2 linked regions of the Coturnix japonica genome follow. The protein of the gene in region 2 purifies or fractionates together with the protein of the main gene of each other region. This does not show direct contact. Links are inferred from orthologs where the notes say so. Each region holds a gene or a part of one and is shown on either strand. Other genes may lie near its edges.

The links.
Region 1: the proteins of TUBGCP2 (region 2) and MZT1 purify together in Homo sapiens (affinity purification with mass spectrometry; 4 studies listed by BioGRID and IntAct, counting the BioPlex papers as one, with this or other methods). This does not show direct contact. The link is inferred for Coturnix japonica from reciprocal best matches to the Homo sapiens genes TUBGCP2 and MZT1.

The regions. Positions count from the first base shown.
Region 1 is NC_029516.1:140,207,711-140,215,148, reverse strand, and holds MZT1 (mitotic-spindle organizing protein 1), read right to left. Parts: upstream 4,958-7,438; 5' UTR 4,857-4,957; coding exon 4,808-4,856; intron 4,630-4,807; coding exon 4,484-4,629; intron 3,453-4,483; coding exon 3,429-3,452; 3' UTR 1,218-3,428; downstream 1-1,217. Other genes in the region: BORA (protein aurora borealis), read left to right, coding at 5,641-5,796, 6,494-6,600. UniProt on the Homo sapiens protein: Required for the recruitment and the assembly of the gamma-tubulin ring complex (gTuRC) at the centrosome.
Region 2 is NC_029521.1:5,964,666-5,972,176, forward strand, and holds the start of TUBGCP2 (gamma-tubulin complex component 2), read left to right. Parts: upstream 1-2,875; 5' UTR 2,876-2,942; intron 2,943-2,948; exon of another isoform or gene 2,949-3,233; intron 3,234-3,375; 5' UTR 3,376-3,394; coding exon 3,395-3,544; intron 3,545-4,222; coding exon 4,223-4,351; intron 4,352-4,515; coding exon 4,516-4,692; intron 4,693-5,684; coding exon 5,685-5,844; intron 5,845-6,483; coding exon 6,484-6,691; intron 6,692-7,275; coding exon 7,276-7,475; intron 7,476-7,511. Other genes in the region: ZNF511 (zinc finger protein 511), read right to left, coding at 1,149-1,218, 1,667-1,831, 1,996-2,120, 2,203-2,404, 2,584-2,657, 2,732-2,875. UniProt on the Homo sapiens protein: Component of the gamma-tubulin ring complex (gTuRC) which mediates microtubule nucleation.

The DNA.
Region 1 (7,438 bases), on a different chromosome or scaffold from region 2:
TGACTCCACCACCTCTCTGTGCAGCCTCAAGCCAGCTCCTTACCTAGCATAGAGTGTATGCTGTATCAGTGTTCAGCTATTTCAGTTCCTGGAAAGTTGTGCCTTATTTTTATGACTTTGTTTCTCATATCAGCTATATTTGCTTTGTTGGATTCAATTCAGAGAGGTAGCCATTGGATTTCTTACCATGCTTATGGATAAACGCATCACAATTATCTCTCTCCTCAACTTCTCTTTGAGAAACTGCATAGACTAAGTTCTTCAAGACCTCACAAGACTAGATTTCCAGTCTTGAAATGATGTTATGGCTTTCGCAAAAATTATTTTTCTGTCATGACAACTCTCTGGATATATAACTCTGAGTCTGGAAGTGAACACTATGTTTTTTTTTCTTCATAATGTCTGTAAAATAAATCCATTTACTAAAAAATAAGTAACTCTCCCTAGGAAACGCTTTCATTGGAGCAACTACTGATGTTCTTCCAAAAAATCCTTCTCAATTTACCATTTTTTGAAAACTAAGCATTTGTTCTTTTATATTTTTAATGACATTTTTATTTCATATCCAACAGGACAGCAAAAGAGGTAACAACCCAATGCATTTCTGTTTTTATTGAATTACGCCAACAACTTTAATACAAAACTGTCCTTCATAAATTCAAACATACCTTACCTCCATTTCACACAGACACCTGTAAGTAATAATGAACAGTAATTAAAGAACCCACCTATGTTCCCATGAAACTCATGACTGTGCTTAAGCTCTCACAGCTATGCTACATATAGCACTTAGAACAGTAAAACCACAGGAAAACTGTGAGATACTCCAAAAATATGACACTGATTAGGAAATAAAATGGCAGACAAAGCTCAGTATAGATAAAAAAAAAGGGGTACACATGGATCCTAGGAAGGGAATTAAAAGAGTGAATAGGCCAGTCTGCATATCTAAAGGTTCCCTTCTCAAAAAAGGAGACAGAAAAGTTTCAAATGCAGAAGTTATTCCACACCTCTGAGCAGCCAAAGAATATTTAAATTAACATATTTCAGCATTAGTTACAGTAGAACCAAGAGGAAATTTAAATGTAAATTTTATACCTGCAGAATCATGACTGGCACAACCACCATACTTAAAATGTCTACTGCATAGGAACATAAGGATAGTAAAAATCAGGTTCAAAATAAACAAATGGCAACAGTTCCCTGTGTCACAGACATCATTTGATACAAGCTGTTTTTATTCAAGAAGCATATACAGTCATAGGGAAACTTGACAAGTACTGGAAAAAACAGCATTAGAGATTGCTAATAGACAAACCATATGATGTCCAGGAAAGCCTGGAATAGAAGACATTTGGAAGCTAGAATACAGAAGGAAAAGAACCAAACATGCTTGCATTGTTCTTATTCTTCCTCAGGCATCTGCTTTTGACTATAGAAGAAAAGCTATTGTGTTAAAAAAAACCTTTAGCTGGAACCAGTATAGCTATTCTTGTTTTCAAGACTTCAAGGTGTTTGACTCCCTACATTTAAGTTAAACATTACCACTTGCTCTATGTGATAAGAAAAGTATTATATACAATTTTATATCTGTCAAATTAAGTTTTGAATGTCTAAAACATGCCCTGATTCTATAATTCTGCTTGAGACATAGTGTCCTGGAAAAAGGCTTAAGTGCGTAAAAACCAAGTTCATCAATGCTAAAATGGCAAGCACAACTTACCTAGGCAGCACTGCACTCATATTGCATTTGCAAGCTGATTATAAACATTTCAGGGACATAAAATCAACACTGAAACCACAATAAATGTAACAGAAGTTAGAAACATTTGTGTATTTTCAGCAGTAAAGTGATGAATAGGAGTGGCAAGGGAAGCCATCAGAATTACTATATTACCTAAACATCTGGGAACTGAAAAATACACTGCCAATGCACAAGCACTCTAATTTCAGAAGCATTGAGGATACATTTGCTGTTTAAATTTTAGTTCCGCAATTCTCTTCAGAAACAAATGACAACCTGTCAACACTGCAAGAATACTTTTCTGGTTTTGACATGCAGCACTGAGTCCAGTTAAACGTGAAATAACCAACTGCTTATTTGTTTTAAGTATTTTAACATTTTCAGTCTTTGCTGATTTCTCACATTTTTCTAGGATACATTTATTGTCAATCTTTCCATACAGTAGATTCTTTAATACTTTTGAAAACATTACACACAGTATTCAGAAGTTTTAACACAGATTCTACACCTTTCTGGAGTGATTTCTTGGCCAGAGTAATAGGAAATAAAAGATATTTATCATGTTTTCTAAAGCTGTGACCCAGATAGAGTAATGTGTGATGTAAACTCAAAAGAACTTTTCCGTCCGCACAAAAGATGAACCTTGAATCTTTATTACGTGTGCTTCCCCTGTCAGCCTGCTTTGGGTTCTATTAACACCACTACTTAGAAAACAGTCTAACAAAAAATTGGAAAAGCTAAAACAGCAGCAGAGGACAAACACAAGAAAATTTTCTTCCTATGAAGAAGCATAACTCCTGGATGCAAAAGATTCACTGAATGATAATTTGTTCAGTAGCTTAATGCATACACTAGAAAGATTTGTTTTTGCATCAGTGGATATTGTTTGTGCTGAAGGAGAAGACTCCCCTACACCAAGTGACTGTTTAACACAACTAAATCAGCCCCTACTTGTAAGATGCTTTGACTAGTAATTAACAATATATGCTTAATATTTTCAGGTTGAGTGTTCAGAACATACGCAAACAGCATTTGATATTCCACGTTATCTACATGTCAAATTTACATACATCCAAATTCCTTTCTAAAACAAGTTAAAAACTCTTTTTCCAACAGAATTAGAAGGACAAGTCATTATCTTGATAATCAAAAGTGCTTTATTTCTTACTTTCAGAACATGACTTAAGTCATTTAAGTCATCATCTGTACTCTAATTAAAATCAGCTCAATAGGGACTTCTTTCCTACCTTTACCACAGATAAAAGCATCCACATATTTTCACACTAGTACAACAGGAATAAACAGAACACAATAGCACTTCTAAAGAATGCGTTAACAAGCCATATTCGTGATAACATTCACTGTTACACACTAGTAATTTCAGCAAACCTTCAATCTCTGACACTGTTTAAAAATCCTACATGCTGAAGGGCAGTTACACTAAAATTCACCCCTGGTTCATAAAAATAACCAAGTATTCAAGTGTGGTAAGATTACTGGTGGGCCTATTTAAGAAAACCCAACTTTAAGCTCTTCCATACATTGCCTTTTTCAAGATGACTTAGAGATACTCTGAAACCTCCAGATATAATTTGACTTCGTATTTCTAAGTAGCAGCCAATGTTCAAATTCTTTATCAGCTCTACAACTTCGAACTCTTCTCATGAAGAAGGATTCTATCACATCAGCTTGTCATATTTTCAGCAGCCTAGGGAAAAAAAAAAATTTGTCACCAAAAGCAGACATCATTTATGTTGTAGATTTGAAGCCCAGATATGAGATAAAAAGAGAAATGAAAGCAACACAAGTAAGACATAAAAAATAGAAAAGAAATAGAACATCCCTCAACAATGTATATGCACAATTAAGCTTGTGTACACACATTTAAGCACATACACAAATAAAAAATACACACAAGTATAGAAGAGTTTGAAATTATAAAAAAATAAAATAAAAATTTAAATTATGCAAAAAAAAAGTCTGATTGTAAAATCTGAAAGCTGAGTTCTTTAAGAATCAGAACATAGCCTTCAAAAACAGATAAATAAACAACATAAGATGTAGTGGAGAAGGAATCATGATGGTTAGGTAGACAGCAAAGCATCAAAATCCTTTAAAGGGCAAATGAGAATTTTTTAACTATAGTTATTTTCCCTATTAACCAAATAGTTACATGTGGCTTTTTATACTTTAGTACTTACAATGCACACACACCATGAAATGCTGTGATTTGTCTTTGGAGAGACGTAAAGCACAGGTTAATGAGGTGACAGCAATGTGTGGAGACTGTTAGCCACAACAGCTTCATGAACTTGTTCACAAGTGTTGCTACAGAAAGGGTAGTCAGGCATTGGAATGCACTGCCAGGGAGGTGGTGGAGTCACCAACCATGGGAGTGTTCAAGAAACATTTGGATGTTGTGTTGATGAATATGATTTAGCTGGGAAGTATTGGTAATGGTTGGACTGGATGATCTTCTAGGTCTTTTTCCAACCTTGATAATTCTGTGATACATACTATGAGGCCTGAGGGTGTATAAGGAGCTGATATGGGCTGAAGAAGAAAGCTACAGTCCAGTCAGGACATGAAGCAGATAAAGGGAAATAGTGGCTGAAAGCACCAAGAAGAGAAATCTGTTTTGTTGATTTTTTTCTTAATTTTAAAGGAAAAGAAGCACAGCAAATTGAACCAAAGATTTGATTCTTTTAAAACCGTGTGCTTTTTAGGGAATGGCATTACCTTTAGAGCTTCTGTAGCCTTACGCAGTTCTTTAATGACAGAAGACAGTGCTTCTGGGTTGATGCCTTGCTCACAAAGCCGCACACAAATAGACAAGGTCTCCATATCCAACCCAGTATTTAATATTCTTGAAATCTCAAACAGAACTGCAAGGAAAAAGAAAGCAAATTAGCCCCAACAGCGATCAAAGAAGTTATTAATCAAAGCTGAATTTCTACTGTACAGCATGGAAGTGGCAGTTATGGAACCTCAAGCAAACCAATGTATCTACAAACAAGTGCCGCATCCCCAACCCCACTGGCCCCTCCCGCCCCTCCCTCGTACCGTCCATCGTCTCCCTCACGGCGTTGAGGCTGGCGGCATTGCTCGCCATGGCGACCGCCCACCCGGAAGCAGAAGGAGCGACCCCAACCTCACGTGATTCCGGGACTCCGCACCAGGCCCAAGCGGAACCTCCCGCTCACAGCAGGAAGGTGGGGGGCGGGCTAACGTTCGAATTTGTGCAGCGGCTCTGCATGCGATTGGCCCGTTCGTGAGCGGAGGGGAGCCTACGATTGGTTCGCCGGCGGCTGCGGCGCGCGTTGATTGGGCAGAATTCGGGAAGGGGCGGGAGGTGGTTAAAGAGCCGCCCGGCTCGGCGGAGGCGGGCAGTTTTAATTGGAGTCGGGTATGAGTGCGCGTCGCGGCAGCGGGGCTTCGGTAGCTGGGCCTGAGGAGTGGGGGGGTGGTGGCGTGGTGGCGGCCCTTGGTACAGCTGTCCCGTGAATACGTGGCTTTAGGCCTCTGCTGCTCGCTGTGTGCGTTCCTCGGCCTGTGAGGAGCGGGGAGCCGCCTCGCTGTGGGGCTGACAACTCCTCTGAGGCCCCGCCGTTCGGTACGGGAGCACCTGGCACGAACGCGATTGGTTTCCTCCATGCTGGTTTCCAGTACCTCGTTTCCTTTGGCTTTGCTTTCTAGGCTCCGTCTTTGTACCAGCCTCGTTTATCTGCTTCTCACTGGTCCAAGCCAAAATCTGCTTTGCCGTTATGAGTTTTCTGTCTCTTCTGAATGACCGGTCATGGGTTGAAATTCTTAGAATGACCCTAACGAGTCAGAATGGTAATTTCCTCCCCTCACATTTCCTTCTGTTTCTCTTCCCCAGGCACAGCTTCACTGCTATGGGCGATACAGAAGAAGCCCAAATGCAGATCAGCCCCGAAACTCCTGGGCGGGTCACAGTTCTGAATCCTTTCGAAAGCCCCAGCGATTATTGCACCCTTCAGGAGCAGATTGTCTCCAGTCCTTCCGTCTTCAAATCAACAAAATCTTCATCTGTAAGAGCTCATTTTCTGTTCTATGTAGTGCCGACACATAAAAACACGTAACACAGTGTATTTACTTGATTTAATGTATGCAAACCCAAAGAACTTGGGGTGTTTTGTGGTTCTTTCATTTACCTCAGTAAGCTTCTTTTAATGCTAACGCTGTAATTTGGTCTTCGCACCTTGATAATGAGATTAAAAAGACAGTGTTTTGTTAGATCGTTTTTCTAAGTGCTACTTGCTCACTATTTTGTACTGAAGTGCTACTTCAATGGATGAGACTGCTTTGTTCCCAAACTGGATCTTATGATCTATGCCTGACAGTGCCCTTTGTGGCCTGCTTCTAGACTGTCCTCTGTCTCCTTTGAAATGTAAAGTAAAAGGAAGGTTGCTGTATTATTTCGATATCCTGGCTTGGATGATTATTGAAGTGCTTTCAGGGAGCCACAGTTTTCATTGTGGCCATGGAGAAGCAACTAAACTTAATCCCATGTTTCAGATCTGTAGTAGGCCTGTTCTCAGAAATGGAGGGGGAATAACATGACACTTCAGTTATTAATTGTTTGTAGTACTCTTTTGCTTAATATTATCTCATAATTAATTTTAATTCCACCATCAAGACAAAAAAAAAAGTCTGAATTAGTTGCCTTTTTTAAAAAAACATTATCAGACCAGCAAGTATTCACGTGACTATTTCTTTTTTTTTCAGACACCAGGAAAATTTAGGTGGTCTATTGATCAGCTTGCTCTAATAAATCCTGTGGAAATTGACTCAGAAGATATCCGACGCCAAGCAATGTATTTGAGTCACGCTAGGTAACTTACCATCTGTCTTTATGCTGTTGATTTAGCTTGAATAGCAGAACACTGTTCATTTGCTTTAGTGACATTTCTTACATTGTTAAAGAACCTTCATTCAGGTTTTTCAACATACATTTTCTTATTCCTGATGTGAATATAGTATTTAGATGAAGCCACTTCTGGTTGCTGTTTTTTCATTTTAAGAACTGCAGATCTCTCTGATTGCAGTTTGGAGGGCAGCCAGACACAGCAGTCAGCAGAAGCAAGAAAAATGCCTTGCCAATAACTGTTATCTGGCTGTATCTCCTTCTTCTTGTCACAGTACTATTTATCTTCTTGGAGTGTACAGTATTGGGACTTGCGAAGCATAAGTATCTTTGGGATGCCTGCAGAAGGATAGAGCTGGCAAAGGCAGTACTATTTGAAAGGTACAGACTGGAATTAACATAAGGGAGGAAAGGCCAATAATCTTGCTCTTTTTGAGAAGACTACTAGTTACTTAGAATAATTTGAGGGTCTTTATCTTAACTTTCCTTTCTTTGAGTCTTTCTATGGGTACAGCAAATGACTGAAGTAAAACAGGCTTGGTAGTAGTCATGGATCTTATTGAGGGAGGGTATTTGACACTAATGCACCTTAGGTGACAGTTTAGCTGATGGTTAGTGCTGTGGCCAATAGACATAGAATCGTAGAATGAATCATAGAATGGTCTGGGTTGAAAAGGACCACAATGATTATTGAGTTTCTACCTCCCTGCTATGTACAAGGTTGCCAACCACCAGACCAGGCTGCCCAGAATCACATCCAGCCTGGCCTTGAATGCCTCCAGGGATGGGGCATCCATAACCTTCTT
Region 2 (7,511 bases):
ATTAGTGGGCTCTTGTCTCGCGAGTGGCATAGGCACCATGGCAGCACTGCTGCAAGGGAAGCAAGAGCAGCTTTGAAACAAAGCGAAGCAAAACCAGGGCCACACATCTCGGAGGGTTTGACTCGAGGAGAAATGCCTGAGCAGGGAGCCCATTAACTGTTAGGAATTCAAAGCAGCAAGGATGATACAAAGCACCAAATCATAGAATCATAGAATTGCTGGGGTTGAAAAGGACCACAATGATCATTTAGTTTCAGCCCCCCTGATATGTGCAGGATTGCCAGCCAGTACATCAGGCTGCCCACTGATGTTTGCCCACTGCTTTCCCCAGCCCAATCTCAGTCACAATGCAGCACCCAGCAGTGAATGCAGTGTGGCTGTAGCCCCTCTTACGTCTCCTTAGCCAGACTCTGCTCCACGTCCACGTCCTGTCTGAGACCGCCAAGAGCCTGCAGCAGAGAAGGGCGAGGTGAGAGCCAGCCCTATGCCTGGCCCCGGGCCACAGGGAGCTGTGGTCTCACCTGGTTGCCTCCGGGGGCAAGCAGCAGGAGAGCTGCACCCAGCAGCATGGTCACACTGCAAGGACCCATGGTGCTTCTGCCTGTGCAACAGCCTTGCACTGCACTTTGCCCGTGCTGTGTGGTTGCATGGGGGAGTGGTGTGGGTCATGTGGGTGCGCCCCATCATGCACATGGCACATACACCCTGCAGTGCACTGCAGCAATTGAGTTAGAAGCTGCTGAGGGCTGTAAGTTCACAAACTTAGTCCTCAACACCAGGGAAGTTAAATAGGTCAGCTGAAATAAACAGTGAAAGGACTTTTCAAGGCCTTTTTTAGCCTTTGTTCCTCCTGGTGAGGATGGGGACGAAGCAATTACAAACCTTCAGCTTCTTGGATAAATGCCATACCAACAGCCTCCTGTGATTCCATTGTTTTACTTTATGGACCATTTGTTGAATGTCACAGTTGTAAGGGGACCACAGGGACAGGGAGCTGTGAGTTCTGTGCTTTGCTTTGCACCACCCCTCTTTTCTCCTTTTCACATCCCATTACATTGCAGGCAATGACAAACACTCCTGCTTGGATGCAGTGACTGATAACAATTGCTGGTGCCTTCTGGTCTTGCGCAAGTCTGCTGTGCTGACATTTAGACCTTCTTACGTGGGCCTTTAAATCCTCGGGTAGCGCCCTGTCCAAAGCAGATTGTGGATGGGATCCTGGAACAGAGACACCAGTTAACATGCATTTGTGAGATCTTTGCCCTCTGTTATCAGCAGAAGTCCTGCTGATAGTCAACTAGCAGCACCGGTCATGCTTTAAAAGAACAAGCTGACTTAGCCCAGGAATGCAAGGCAATGGTGTTGGAGGTAAAACAGTAATCTTTTGGGGAACATGATACAAATACAAACTGGACTAATCTCTCCAAGATACAAGCTGCAAGTGCAAAGGTGTGGCCCCATGGGCAAATAGAGGGGCAGGTTTCTGTTGGATGGACCACGCTGGCATCTCAAACTCAAAGTACAAGCATCCCTTTGCCAACTGGGATAGTTCAAGAAAGAACATGACGTTCTTAGAGGCCATTAAAGTGATCAATAAATGATTCAGGTGCTGCCTCAGTGACCTTTTGATCAGAAACTTTTGCCTGTGCAGGCATTTGGCTCAGACCTGGATTTATAGAGGCGTTTCTCTGGTACTGAAGGGCTGGCTGCAGGCTCTGTGCTCTCCATGGGTACTTCCATATGGTCCGTCTCGAGCTGCTCCGAGGTCTCCATGCTGACATCCATCAGCATGCTCCCATCATCTGTGGGACAGCTCACATGCTTGGTACCACTGCAGAAAGAAAACGTGACATCCATTCTCAGCAGCTGAAACGCGAGCAAGGAGCAAAGAAAATGAAAGGGATTTTAGAGGACTCTAGAAAGGAATGGGACAGCAGAGAAGCACATCACTTGAGCATGGAAAAAGCAGCTGTGCTGCTGCCATTCTGCAGTTACCTCTTCACTTTCTTTGGTCTATCAAATCGGAAGTCAGCAGGGTATAAGTGAGCAGTGACCAAGTGATCCTTCCTGTCTTTGCTGCACTTGAACTTCTCTGCACAGCCTTCTACCAAGCACTTGTACTGAAAGAAAGGAAAGAAAACACCCCCTGGGAAGGGTGAACAGCCAGTCCGTGTGGCAGCAGGGGCCGGGCCATGCCCTCACCATATTCTGCTTCTCAGCCATGATCTGGAAGAGCGAGTCGTGCCACTCGGAGATGTGGATGTCCAGAAGGTGCCCTGAAGGGAACGACCGCCTGCAGAAGGAGCAGACGTTGCGGTGCAGCACGTTGTAATGGTGCTCGTAGCCCTCAAGTGTATCGAACACCTGGGAGCAACCGGAGATGTGACAGCAGAACTCAGACACCCTGTAAGGGAAGGACAGCACATTAGTGCATCCTCAGCGTGTAGTATATTATACGTTTAAGCCTTATTACAAGGCTCTGCCCCAGATGCTCGGGTCCCTGTGAGCTCGCAGGGGGCCCAGCAGCTCCGTGTGCAGGGCAGGGTCTCAGTGGGGGCTCATCTCTTGTCCCATGCAGCTCACCTGGGCCTCTCCGCCTCCTCGGCGCGGCCCGTGAGCGCCTCCCGCAGGTACAGGTGTCTGTGCACGTCTCCATCCTGCAGCGGGGGGACATGGCAGTCATGGAGCAGCCTGGCCAACGGGCCGCCCGCCCCGCTTGGCTCGGCCTCACCTCGAGCAGGGGGTGCTGCGGGTCCAGGCGCAGGCGGCGCGGGCAGAAGGCGAAGGGAGCCCGCGGCGGGGCCGAGGCGGGCGGCGGGGCGGGGGGCAGCGGCGGGCGGTCCCGCAGGCGGCGGCGGAGAACGGAGAGCAGCATCGGACCGGACCGGGCCGCGCAGGCGCCCGTAGCACTTCCTGCGGCAACGGCGGCGGCTTCCGGGCGGGTAGGAGGGATGGAGCGGGATGGGGACGGAGAGGAGCCGCGGGACGGCGGGGTGTGGGGCGGCTGGATTCGTTCTGTGCGTCTGCTCTGGGTTCTGTGTGCGGGGAGCCGCTTAGAACCAGCCCGGTGTCGTCGTTTGTAACGCTGTGGTTCCGATCCGGACAGCAGGCCGCGCTGAATGCAGCCGGTCGGGTCGGCGCTCCACACTGAGGCCTCCCATAGTGTCTGGAAGGCAAAGAAGAGCTGCTGCCCACGCTTAGGCCTGGTCTGTAGCAGGGCAGTAGCGTGCAGGGTGAGGGGCTTGTCTTACAACTCCCATAAGTTTCTTTGTGCCCATCCAGCACACCCTATGGGCTTATAGTGCAGCGTTATTCTTGTGCTTACACCAAAGCACTAACGTAGCTCACTGCCTTTCTTCCTGTATCCAATGTTAGGTTGGATTTCATTCGCGCCATGAGTGAGTTCCGCATCCACCACGATGTCAACGAGCTGCTCAGCCTGCTGCGTGTGCACGGGGGTGAGGGGGCCGAGGTGTACATCGACCTGCTGCAGAAGAACCGCACGCCCTACGTCACCACCTCCGTGTCTGCTCACAGTGCTAAGGTGGGCCAGAGTAATGGCATTGCATTGGTCCCTCGCGGAGTTATCCATCCATCAGCTGAACATGAGCCAGCGTAGGTGACCATGAAGGCCGGTGGCATCCTGACTTGTATCAGAAACAGTGTAGTGGGCAGGATCAGGGAGGTAACTGTCCCTCTGTAGTTGACACTGAGGCTGCACCTTAATGCTGTGTTCAGTTTTGGAACCTTCACTACAAGAAAAACATGGACGCCCTGTAGTGTAAGGCAACAGTGCTGTGAGGGGTCTGGAGCACAAGTCTTGTGGAAGCAGCTGAGGGATATGAGATTATTTAGCCTCAAGGAGGCTCAGGGGAGACTTTACTGCTCTATAGCTCCCTGAAAGGAGGTTCTGGGAAGGTAGGTGTTGGTTTCTGCACCCAGATAACAGCAAAAGGTTGAGGTAATGGCTTTAAGTTGTGACAGGGGAAGTTCAGGTTGGGTATTAAGAAGAACTCAGAAGGAGTGATACATTCCAAATCAGTCCATCTTAATTATCAGTGCGAGGCCAGTGCCGCATTGTTCAGTCCAAGACCTATTCCCTGAAGCACTTTGCTGGCAGCAGTGGCCTGCACCTTGTTTCCCTCCTTGCACAATGCTCTGCTCTGGAATGCTGGAATGATAATCTACCTTAAACATTAAATATTCCTGTGGTCTTTTACAGGTAAAAATAGCAGAGTTTTCTAGAACTCCTGAAGACTTTTTAAAGAAATACGATGAACTGAAGTCTAAGAATACAAGACATTTAGATTCTTTGGTGTACCTGCTCTCAAAGCTCACAGAAGACAAAGAGGTTTGTTTCTGTGTTAGAACTGAGCATGTTATAACTCCTTGGTAGTAGCAACAATGCAGTGGTTTTAAATATGCACGCTGTCAGATTATAATATTCATTGGAATACAGCTTTGCTGCAGTGTGTGCTGACCAGTGCTCACAAAATTTCTTTTGTGTGTATACAGACACTCCAGTATTTGCAACAAAATGCTAAAGAAAGGGCGGAACTCACAGCAAACGTGGCAGCTGGTGGCAGCACAAATTTCTCCATCCCCTCATCTACTTCCAAGATTTCTCTGCAGGAACTTGAGGAGCTGCGCAAGCAGCTTGGCACCGTCACAGCCAACTCCAGCGCACAGCAGGTACTGCCCCTCACCTTACATGTGAGATCTTTCCCAGCTGTTGGTATGTAGCTGTGCTCTTAACTTTTGACATCTAGGGGAACTGCAGATATTACTATCCATCTAAATCTGCTCTCAGAATGGTGCTAGTCAAATTATATTAAATCATTGTGCTGTTATTCCAAAAAGTGGCCTTTTTATTGAAGTCAGGTAAGGTCAGGCGAGTTTAGGCCACAGCAGTTCTCACTGGGGCATAGTGACCTTCAATGAGAAGAAAATAAAATGACCCTCTGCAGATCCCATTTCACATACATGTGGAGCTTAAGAAATGGCTTTCATAAGCATGTCCCCTTTTGGCAGCTATGGAAAGCATGGCGCTTTTGGCAATTATGTAGGTTATACATCACCTCTCCAGCTGAAAATTAGTCTTTCACCATAATTATTTTACTGACAGAGATCCAGAGCCATGAGTGGAGACTGTTATGGTCTTGTAAAAGCTCACTTCCTTCACAATCAGAGCAAAACCACTGTCATTTTCCACTGGTGTATTATCTTGATGGCATTTCATGTGCAGCTACTCCACGGGCAGTGTGCTGAAACTGATTTCAGAGGTGGTCATTAGCCTGTTTGCAAGTGCTCCTTGGATAAGATGTTGCTGCTTTCTTCTTCTGGAATTAATTTGTTGGCTTTTACATGGTGGAGTTTGCAAACTAATAAGGTGACTGGAGCTTGTAAGCGTCCCGGTTTTGCTCCTGTGTGTATGCCACAGCACCAAGGCTGGTGGGAGGGGTATGACAAGGCATTATGTGATGCATCTGCCAATAAGAAGATGGCCAACTATATAAAATTCACCTCTGCAGCACTGAGACCAGTAGCCTGAATGAAACCAAGAGAGTACACCTACACTTGTTCTACTGAAATATCAATTATTCCACTTTCTATTCTCAAATTATCGGTTTACAGTCAGTTTCTCCTTCTTCATTCTTCTCTCTTTTTCTTTTTTTTCTCAACAGCCCCTTGAGCTTACACGAAAAATGCTCCGAGATAAGCAAAACAAGAAGAATTCAGGCCAGCCTGTTCCAGTTCTTCCATCCTGGGTGTATGAGAGGCCTGCGCTTATTGGTGATTTTTTAATAGGCACTGCTCTAAGCACTGACGTAACGGTACCTATAGGTATGTGATACACAGTGAAAATGATGTTAACGTGATACGTTTTGTACTTGTTCAGAAGCTCCATTCAGATTCTGTCAGAACTAGGATGAAAGCAAAAGTTGCCTCCTTGAAATCTTCCCTAAGAAGGTAGATGCACCTGCAGGAATCCTGTAGCTTCCTCCTGCCATGGATTTGTGCCTGGTCTAAGGGACACATGAAAACAGTGATCACAAGTAGTTTCATTCTTGAGTGTTTCCTCGTTGTCAAATGGTTTGTGAAGCTGCATGGGGATTTTAAGCATGTTGGCAAGACTGGAACTCAGATCCAGGGTAACTGAGCCTATTTGGGTGGAAGAGCAAACAGTGCAAGTGATGTTCTCTTGGCCATGGTTGATGGATGCTTATCTCTGTCCTCTTGATTTACTTTGGGTTTAAATGATGAGCAAAGGCTTCTGTTTTCCTGGACAGCAAGGTTTAAGATTTTGGATTTGACTGTAACTCAGTTTTATTTCCCTGTATCTTGGTTCAGCTTTGTATAATCTTCCCTTGTTCTCTTTGAGTGGTAGTATGTCATCCTTTTAGGCTTCATCATGAATGGAAGATCTGGACGTACTGCAGCATGTTCTGGTTATGTTCTTTTCTGTTGTCTCTTTGAAAACAGGTACTCTGCCATTAGCATCCCAAGAATCCATGATTGTGGAGGACTTGCTGTATGTTTTGATTGGTGTGGATGGAAGATACATCACAGCACAGCCTCTTGTTGGCAGGCAGAACCGAACATTTTTAGTCGATCCAAATTTGGACTTGTCCATCAAAGAGCTGGTGACCAGGATTCTTCCTGTAGCAGCAAGTTACTCTGCTGTCACCAGGTACAGAGCTGTCATTTCCTCCCAGTGGGGGATATTTTCCTTCAAGCATCAAGCTGCAGAACATGGAATCTGTCATTTTGCAGATGATGATGTCCAAGCTAGATTTAAACCTGTAGGGATATAAAATAAAGAGTAGTTATTTATTTGAAATGGCTTTGGCTACGTATGTTTGTGCTGGCATTTTCCTTCACCTTTCCTTTGCTTTGTCCAACTGAGTTGGTACAGGCAAAGTTAAAATGTCTGCTTACTGTGGCTTGTCTAAAGCATTTTCAGGAAGTGATTTGTCCAGCATCTTTTGCCTGCCTTGAAAATACTGGCACTTGCTTTTTTTACAGTGGATTTGCAAGTAATTATAGATCCCCTTCAACTCAAGAGGAAATGCTTTTGCACAGCTTTTTATACTAAGTGTGGCGGTGAGAAGTAGGCAGGGGCCAGAGAGCAGTTGAATGTAAAACTTAGCTGAAAACTGATAAGTTTTCCAATACAGTGTCTACTCTTGTGCTTCTGTAGTGTCCTGAAATTAAAATTCCTGGAAATGTTGGAAATTACCTTGTCTAAAAGAGATTCCATTTCATGTTTTATAGGTTTGTAGAGGAGAAGTCTTCCTTTGAGTATGGACAGGTAAATCATGCGCTCGCTGCTGCTATGCGGACTCTGATCAAGGAATACATGATACTGATTACCCAGCTGGAACATCTTCAGAGACAGGGACTTCTCTCACTGCAGAAGCTCTGGTTTTATATCCAGCCCACGATGAGGACTCTAGAGATTCTTTCTTCGCTTGGTAAGTGTAAAAAATTCAGTCATTATGTTTAGACAG